2 linked regions of the Drosophila melanogaster genome follow. The protein of the gene in region 2 interacts with the protein of the main gene of each other region in a pairwise test. Each region holds a gene or a part of one and is shown on either strand. Other genes may lie near its edges. The genes, in order: SdhBL and CG15764.

Region 1 (4,723 bases), about 13 Mb from region 2:
CCACGTGCGCGGGTCTGGATGATGATCTTCTCTCGCGACATCAGTTGGTGATGCATTCGCGAGGATGAGCTGCTGCTGCCGCCTCCAAGACCAGAACCTAAACCTTAAAGTCAAGCAAAATTAATGGGTTAGTGGGTTGAGCCTAGACATAACTATATGTAGTATCTGATAGTTACCTGGACTCTTTTGCCGCTTACCCACGATGTCCTGATGGATGCGAATCTTGGTGGTGGTGGTAGTGCTGCTGCTCGGCGGACTCCTACTGCTGCCCAATCGATGATGGTCTCGCTCTCTGTCTCGTTGGACGACGCGCAGCTTGTCCCGCTCCCGTTGCTCCTTGCTGGCAGCCCGTAGCCTCTTTCGCTCGGCCAGCTTCTTTAGCTTGGCTCGCGTCGTCGGCGACAGGGAACGATGGACGTGACCACTGAGGGCGGCGGCCGCCCGTTTCTTAAGGCGCGCTTCCTTCAGTTTCCGTTTGATATGATTTCGCTTGGCCACCAGCTTCTTTTGCACATGATCCCGTTTGTCTCGCTTGCGGCGCGACGACGATGGTTCATCTCCGGACGAGCTGCCGCCGCGCCGTGAGCTCTTCTTTTTGCGATGATGACGCTCCGCGGAGCGCGGATGATGCCCATGGCCGTGGGTATGGGGATGACCGTGGACGCTGCCACTGCCGCCGGGACCACCGGCGCCACCAGGTACGCCCACCCCCACGCCGACGCCGCCCACGCCCTGCTCGCTGTCCGTGCTGCTGTACGAGCTGCTCCCGCTGTCGGAGTCCGAGGTGGAGTCCGAGCTGCTCGAGTGCGTCGCACTGTGACGGGCGGCCTTCTTGTAGCGGCGCAGCGACTCCTTGGCCTTCTTCTCCATCGCCGCGATCTCCGCTAGCCTGCGCGCCTCCGTTTTGGCTGCTTTCTTTTCGTACTCCGGTCGAAAATCAGCACGGCTATGCGGCTTATAACTAGTTGCAGCGTGTCTTGTGGTATAATGTCCTTGTTCGGAGGCGCGGACTTGCCTTGTTGTCTATTTTGTTGGCGTTTTCTTTAACTCTTCTTCTTCTCTATTTTCCTCTATATCTTCGTGTTTGTTGTTATCGATAGTCGATTGGCAGGGCATCGCGACCATCGATTACAGTCAGCACGGCGGTACATATCGATCGGTATAAGTTTGAAAATATTGTTTATTATTGTATCACATTATTATAATAAAATATAATTAAATAATTAAGTGCCTTTAACTATAAATAAATATTAATTTAACATTAAAAATATTATTAAAATTAATAATATTAATTAATACTTGTATTTATATTAATATATTGTATTTTTGTAACAATTTCTGCTTAAAATGAGTTCGGTTTTGGATTGAATTACAATTTCTATATCAATTTACCGGTTCAGCAACGGGGATTCAAATCTGACTTGTTATCCATTTTTATACCCGTTACTCGAAGAGTAAAAGGGTACCCTAAATTTGTTGAAAAGTATGTAGCAGTCAGAAGAAGGCGTTTCCGACCATGTACAGTATATATATTCTTGATCAGGAGTCGATCTAGTCATGTCCGTCTGTCCGCCATGTCCGTACCTAGAAGGTTGAGATCCAGCATACAGATTCTAGAGACAAAGACGTAGCGCAAGTTTGTTGATCTTTTTTCGCATTTTTATTAATCTTGTAAATTTCTATCGATTTGCCCAGAAAATGATAAAATTTCGCGTTCTCACATCCACTAGCTGAGTAACGGGTATCTTATAGTCGAGGAACTCTCTTTAGTTGATTTAAATTCCACGCATCCAAAACATTGTATAAAGCAGCCTGTTCTACTACTCAGTTAAACTGAACTTTTCATTTCGAAAAGATTTTCAAATCCAGCTGGCTATGCCTCTAGTGTCAAGTCGTATTACGGGCACTTCACCGGCTTCTCCTCAGTTTTGCTACACAGTTCGACACTTCAACACCTCAACACCTCAACACCTCATCGCCTCGGCACACATTCTCTCTCAACAAAAAAAAAAAAAAAACACATATATTTTTATAAGTACACATTTTAACTTAAAGTCTCATTCATTCGCTCGAAAACCGATGAATTTGTTGCGCCGGCAGCCTCGGCTGCTGAATAAACGGAGCACGTGGCTGTTTAGAAATTACGTGTTGGCCAACAGGGATGTGTCCGAACCCGTTTCCCGTCCTGCGGCGCCTATGTCCACCCTATCGATACCCGGACCAGCGCTGGCTGCCGCCACCCCAGTATCCGCCGTATCCCTGGTACCCCGGTGCACCCACTCCAGCCTCCAAGGAGGTGGACAAGGAGCAGGTTAGTTCTAAGTGAAAAGTTTTCTGATTCCACAATTTTCTGGGTTGTCAATGACTTTGTCATAATGACATTTCATAAATGACACCTGCACTTATTGATATGCTTAACTGAAATTTCTATATTCATTAAAGGAGGAAGAGGGCTCAGAGGATCAGCCACCGGAGGATCAGCCGCCGGAGGAATCGCCACAAAACGACAGTACTCCGGAGGAGCAGCCCCCGCCGGAGCCGCCAAGCCGGGAGGAGCAGCCCCCGCCGGAGCCGCCAAGCCCGGAGGAGCAGCCCCCGCCGGAGCCGCCAAGCCTGGAGGAGCAGCTGCCGCCGCCGCCGGATCCGCCAAGCCCGGAGGAGCGTCCACCGGAAAGCCAGCTTCGGGCAACGCACCAGCAACGCCTCCACCTCCACCACCTCCTCCGCCTGCTAAATCTGCACCCCCAGTGAAAGCGAAGAAGCCGCGATTGAAGACCTTCGAGATCTACCGCTGGAAGCCCGGGGATCAGCCGCAGACGCAGACCTACGAGGTGGACCTGGAGCAGTGCGGCGCCATGGTGCTGGATGCCCTGATCAAGATCAAGAACGAGATGGACCCCACGCTGACCTTTAGGCGCTCCTGTCGCGAGGGCATCTGCGGCTCCTGCGCGATGAACATCAATGGAACAAACACCTTGGCCTGCGTGTCGTCCATCGACCAGAATGAGAGCAAGTGCTGCCGCATCTATCCACTGCCGCACCTGTATGTGGTGCGGGATTTGGTGCCGGACATGAGCCAGTTCTACGATCAGTACCGCTCCATCCAGCCGTGGCTGCAGCGCAAGGATCTGAAGCGGGAAGCTGGAACGGCACAGTATCTGCAGTCCGTGGACGATCGTCTGGTGCTGGACGGGCTGTACGAGTGCATCCTGTGCGCCTGCTGCCAGACCTCCTGTCCATCATACTGGTGGAACAGCAATAAGTATCTGGGTCCCGCCGTCCTCATGCAGGCCTATCGCTGGGTCATTGATTCCAGGTGAGTGAGGCCATGTTGCTGCCAGTTTCCCCAGTGTGCTAAGATTTGCTTTGCAGGGACGAGGCCACCGAGCAGCGACTGGACTTTCTCAAGGACCCCTGGAAGCTATACCGCTGCCACTCGATCATGAACTGCACCAACACGTGCCCCAAGCACCTCAATCCGGCTAGAGCCATCATTCAGCTGAAGCAGCTGCTTGTGGGACTGAAGAAGAAGGGAAAACCACAACTCAAGACCGACGCCCTTTTCGCGGGAAAGGCGTAGGAGGACAACGAAATATCGACATAACGCCATGGGACTTAATAGATATAGATATAGATATACATATGTAGCTATAGTTATAGATATAGATATACATATGTAGCTATAGTTATAGATATAGATATACATATATAGATATACATATACATATACATATACACATATACAGATACATATACATATACATATACATATATAGATATAGATATAGATATAGATATAGATATAGATATAGATATAGATATAGATATAGATATAGATATAGATATAGATATAGTTATAGATATAGTAGGAATTAGGAATGCTATACTGTACACACTGGGCAATACACCGATACATCCTATTAACTACATTTTAACCAAGGACCTCATGGACTTTACGTTAGATAGGTGATAATAAAAGAAAATCGATGTGATTGAATCGAATATTCTGGGTAGACTTTCTAAAGAATGCTGCACAAGATCGTCTTCTATTAATTGATCAATTGAAAGACAATCTTTACAAATGCCATCATGGGTACAAAATAAAGAGATCATCGGGCAGATGGATTGCAGTTGGACAGATGAATCCAACTGATACCAAGAGCGCCTAGCATCTCCATTCCCCTCTTCGTAGATCCAGATCCCAATCCCTACCCCGATCCCGATCCCGATTCCGATTCCGTGTTTGTGTGCTATTTCTGCGCCGCTCGTTGCAATTAAGTGGGAAAATGCTGTTGCAATGTGGATGTTAATGCTCGTGTCTGCACCAGACGCATCCAAACAAATCACACATAAAGAATGGAATCGGATGAAATGAGCCACTTCCCACACTTGAAAAAATTACACGGTGTGCTTGAGCACGAAACTTTCTTAGTACATTATTTAAAGCAAACAAATTTATTGCCGTGCAGGCCAGGAGATTTGTTTTCCAATTGGCCTGGAGCAGGAGCAGGAGCAGGAGCATTGGAGGGCAGTGAATGAAGCCAACTGTGAAAACGGTCCAAACGTCTCGATGGGCATCTATAAATACGCCACCGCAAATCTTCCGCCGGGCAGAAGAATCGGAGACGGAGTCATTTCGAGTTCGGTATGGAATACTTCGATGTTGTTTTCTTTAAAAATAACAAGGCCCTACGAACTTGTCAGCAGCCGTCGCGAAAACGGG
Region 2 (3,848 bases):
TAGTTGGAATAACTAAGTGTAAATGTAATCCAAAAAATATTAAATATACCACGGCATTTTCGATGTTGATTCCCAGTTAACTTATCATTTTAAATTACTTAAGTGGTTAACTTTATCAGTAGCTTCTTGTGATTTATGGATTTTCCATTATATTTGCAACTTTGTTTGCACGTAAAGCAGTAATGCATATATTTCCCATCCGTTGGTTATTATTTCTTTTGTCAATCCTCCGTCTTCGCTGGCGTTATTGGCCAGTGGAGGACAGGAGTTTCTCCGTGGAGTAGTGCTCAGTGGAGCACGTGCCTCTTTGAATAAGTGGAAAACTTTTCGACTATGACACGCAACTTAATTTAAACTTTGCACCGCTGCCAGCGCCATCGTCGTCGCTGCTGGCAATTAGTTATGAGCCAGGATTTGGCTCAATCAGAGGCATGGATGCATGGTGTCCTCGAAGCTGGGAGCCCTGCACTTGCCGCACCGTGTTTACCGGCGCCATTCAATCTGCAACTTAACAAGAAAACTTTCCTCACACAACCATTCAAAGGCAGACACAAAGTTGCGGCGGCACAGTGGTACTTTCACTCGAAATGTAGAAATGAGAAATTTTCGAATATCTTTTTATTAAATGGATAGATAGATTGTAAGATGAGTTCGGTCAAATCACTGAGCTGTATCACTGTATAAATCAGTTAACAAATATATATACTTTTTCAAGTAGTAGTTAATTAATCCTCGCAGTTCTAGTCTAATCGCAGCTTTTCAATATTTCTATGGGCCATCGTTAAAACAGCAGAGCACACAAGTGATTTTAGAGTTGTGTATCTTTATTCAAATACTATTCAAGGCTGGCCTGCGCTAGATGGCCATCTCCTGCACCTGATCCTCTTGGCTTAAAGAACCCATCGCCCTTCGCAACCATTGGCAAATCGAATTGGACGAGATAGGTAGCATCTCGTCCTGAGAGTCAGCCATATCGGTTTGGGTGCCCTTGCCGGTGCCCTTGCCTGGATTCCGATCCAGATACAGACCCTCTTTGGACTCCAGCTCCGTCTGTCGCTCCGCGTGGCGTTCCAAAGAGCGTTGACATCGGCTCCAGAGATCCTGGACATCCTGGCTCTCGCAGTCCGACTGAATGGCCTCTATCAGATATCTCATGGATCGCCCACTGTACTCCATCTCCAGGCTGCGGATCATTTCCGCATCGCTCTGCAACTGACACTGGATCGCCACCTGGCGTTCGAGTGCCTTGGCATCGAATAGCATTTGATCCAACAGTGCATCCGTCTCGGCGATCTCGATCCGAAGCAGATCGGCCATGTCCATGGCCGAACTAAGTTCCCCAGGTTTTGGGCAACGCGGCGAGGGTGGCGGTGGTGGTGGCGTCACCGGGATACGGGCCGTCTTACACTGGACGACACGTGGGGTCCTCAGATGCGTATCGGTCTTGCGCATTTTGAAAGCCTTGGGCGCAGGTCGTGGTGCTAGGCTACTGGGCCTACGCTTCGGGAAAGACCTTGCCGAGCTGGTCGCTGTGGTGGTGGGGTGTGCGGTATCACTCCTAGTCGTGAGCAACTCTGGCACTGCCTTCTCCAGAGATGCCTCCAGAGATGTATAGCCATTCACGCTGTTCAAATGGAGGCGACGGGCCTGGTGCACCAAATTGACGATAGCGCGATCCAAAGCCAAACTCCGGGCACTCACGGACTCCGCCGCGTCATTCAGATGTTCTGTGCTCATTCCAAAGCAGGTTTAGTGGAAAATTTTGATAATATTAATATATATATATGGCTATACTGTGAAGATGTAGTGTATATAAGATTTGGTACTACCGACCGAACCGTAGAGCAAACGTGTTGTGTGTGTCCCTGTCAAATTAGGTGAAATGAAGTGTTGCCAGTTGGAGACGGGCCTACTGGTTTCGGAAAACTCCAACTCCAAGATTACAAGTTTACAAAGGTTTTTTTCTCTGAGTGTATGAATGTGTCGCAAAGTATGCAGTTCGAAGAATATTTATATATGGTTAGAAATCTTTATACACAGCCCACTGTTGGCCAAAACGTTCGCATTATCCTTCGACTGAAGGATAAAGGGATGCGGAGAGTTCGTGATTGCGGGGGGGCGGGGGTGTTTTAAAATTGGCAAGTTGATGTCACATAATTGCCCCTCGAGCGCTCATCTTAATTATTGTGCTCGCTGACTTCCTGTTGCCCGACTTAATTCCCCGTTAAAGCCAACAACACACTCCCTGCGGTCGGGTTCGCCCCCCCACCCCCCACCATCCCACTCCAACGACCACTCTTTTGCCGGTTCCCTCTGCCGCCCATGGACTTACTGAGTGCGTCGCTGCTGCGTGTGGAAATAATTAAAATTGTTCGAAGAACGAGAGGTGTTGCACTTTGCATGTCGGCGAAAGGGGGATTGATGTGCAACATATATGTACATATGTATGAGTATGTGCATTATCGTGTCGGTTGGACAGAACAGCCATGCATTCATCGCGGATGTAAGGATAATGGAACCTACTTGAACGGCCCTTTAAAAAATTTATTGCTTTAACTATTAATCGTTTCATAAATTGAACCTTGAATGAGATCTGTAAATAAAATCCATTGCCAAACTGAGTTTATCCATTTGTAGAGCGACTTCAATTTTAGTTTCGCTGTTTTTTGCGGATTTTTTTTCAACGCTTCCGTGCTGCTTCTGTTTTAATGAAAAGTGAAAAGTGGGAAAACAAGTCCGGAATAGAGGAATACCAATCGAGAGCTTTCAATTTGCTCGACCATTGTTCTGCCTTTGTTTGCTTTTGGATTCGGATTCGGTTTCTTGTTTTTTTTTTTTTTTTTACCCGGGCTTTACTTTCGAAAAGAATTGAAACTTTGACAGTTATTTGTGTGCTTTGTCCGCCCCCTCGAAACAATGCACAAGCGGCGTCAATCCGCCCGACCTATATAGTCCTCCCCCCCCCCCCCCTAAACCACCACAACGAGGAGTCACGTGGCACTCCATTTTTTTGGAATGCCAACGATGAGTACGAAAAACTGGGCAGGTGAAATGGAAAACAAACGCATAGAAAGACAGGTACGAGAAAAAAGCATCCAAAAGACTATAGACATACACTGAGATCTTAGACGGAAAATGGAAAAAAATTATTTTGCAAAAATTAAACAACTTTAGATGAGCATTGTTATCATAACTTGACTAAAAGTGATCAGAAAGCAAAAAGAATAACTGTTTTGAGCAGCTAATAACGAAGGCTAACCATCCCTATCACTTTTTGACCGATTTAGGAAAATTAATTTTTGGACCAATTTTCGCATTTTCGGTAAGGGGTAACATCATCAAAATTTACAAAAAATGGCTAAAAAATGGAATTCCCATTTTTGGACACAGTTCGATTGGGAATTTAAATACGAACTCAACGTGATATGACATTCCGTATTCAGACAATTATTTTTAAAGTTGTGGCCAAAAAACTGACTATTTTATGACGGAAAATCGAAAAAAATGATTTTGGCAAAAATTAAACAACTTTAGATGAGCGTTTTCATCATAACTTGACTAAAAATGATCATAAAACCAAAGAAATAACTGTTTTGAGCAGCTAATAACGAAGGCTAACCATCTGTATCACTTTTGGACCAATTTAGAAAAAATAATTTTTGAGTCATTTTTCGCATTTTCGGAAGGGGTAACATCATCAAAATTTACAAAAAATGGCTAAAAAATAGAATTCCCATTTTTGGACACAGTTCGATTGGGAATTTAAATACAAACTTAACGAGGTATAACAATCCATATTTGAATGATTCTGTCAATTGTTACGAGAATAATTGTGTTATTTTCTAGGC

What was found.
Region 1: the proteins of CG15764 (region 2) and SdhBL interact in a two-hybrid assay, tested with the Drosophila melanogaster proteins (one large-scale study listed by BioGRID).

Annotation. Positions count from the first base shown.
Region 1 is NC_004354.4:18,892,583-18,897,305, forward strand, and holds SdhBL (succinate dehydrogenase, subunit B (iron-sulfur)-like), read left to right. Parts: upstream 1-1,863; 5' UTR 1,864-2,079; coding exon 2,080-2,311; intron 2,312-2,442; coding exon 2,443-3,316; intron 3,317-3,372; coding exon 3,373-3,580; 3' UTR 3,581-3,999; downstream 4,000-4,723. Other genes in the region: Flacc (Fl(2)d-associated complex component), read right to left, coding at 1-103, 177-870.
Region 2 is NC_004354.4:5,867,071-5,870,918, reverse strand, and holds CG15764 (uncharacterized protein), read right to left. Parts: upstream 1,825-3,848; 5' UTR 1,738-1,824; coding exon 856-1,737; 3' UTR 653-855; downstream 1-652.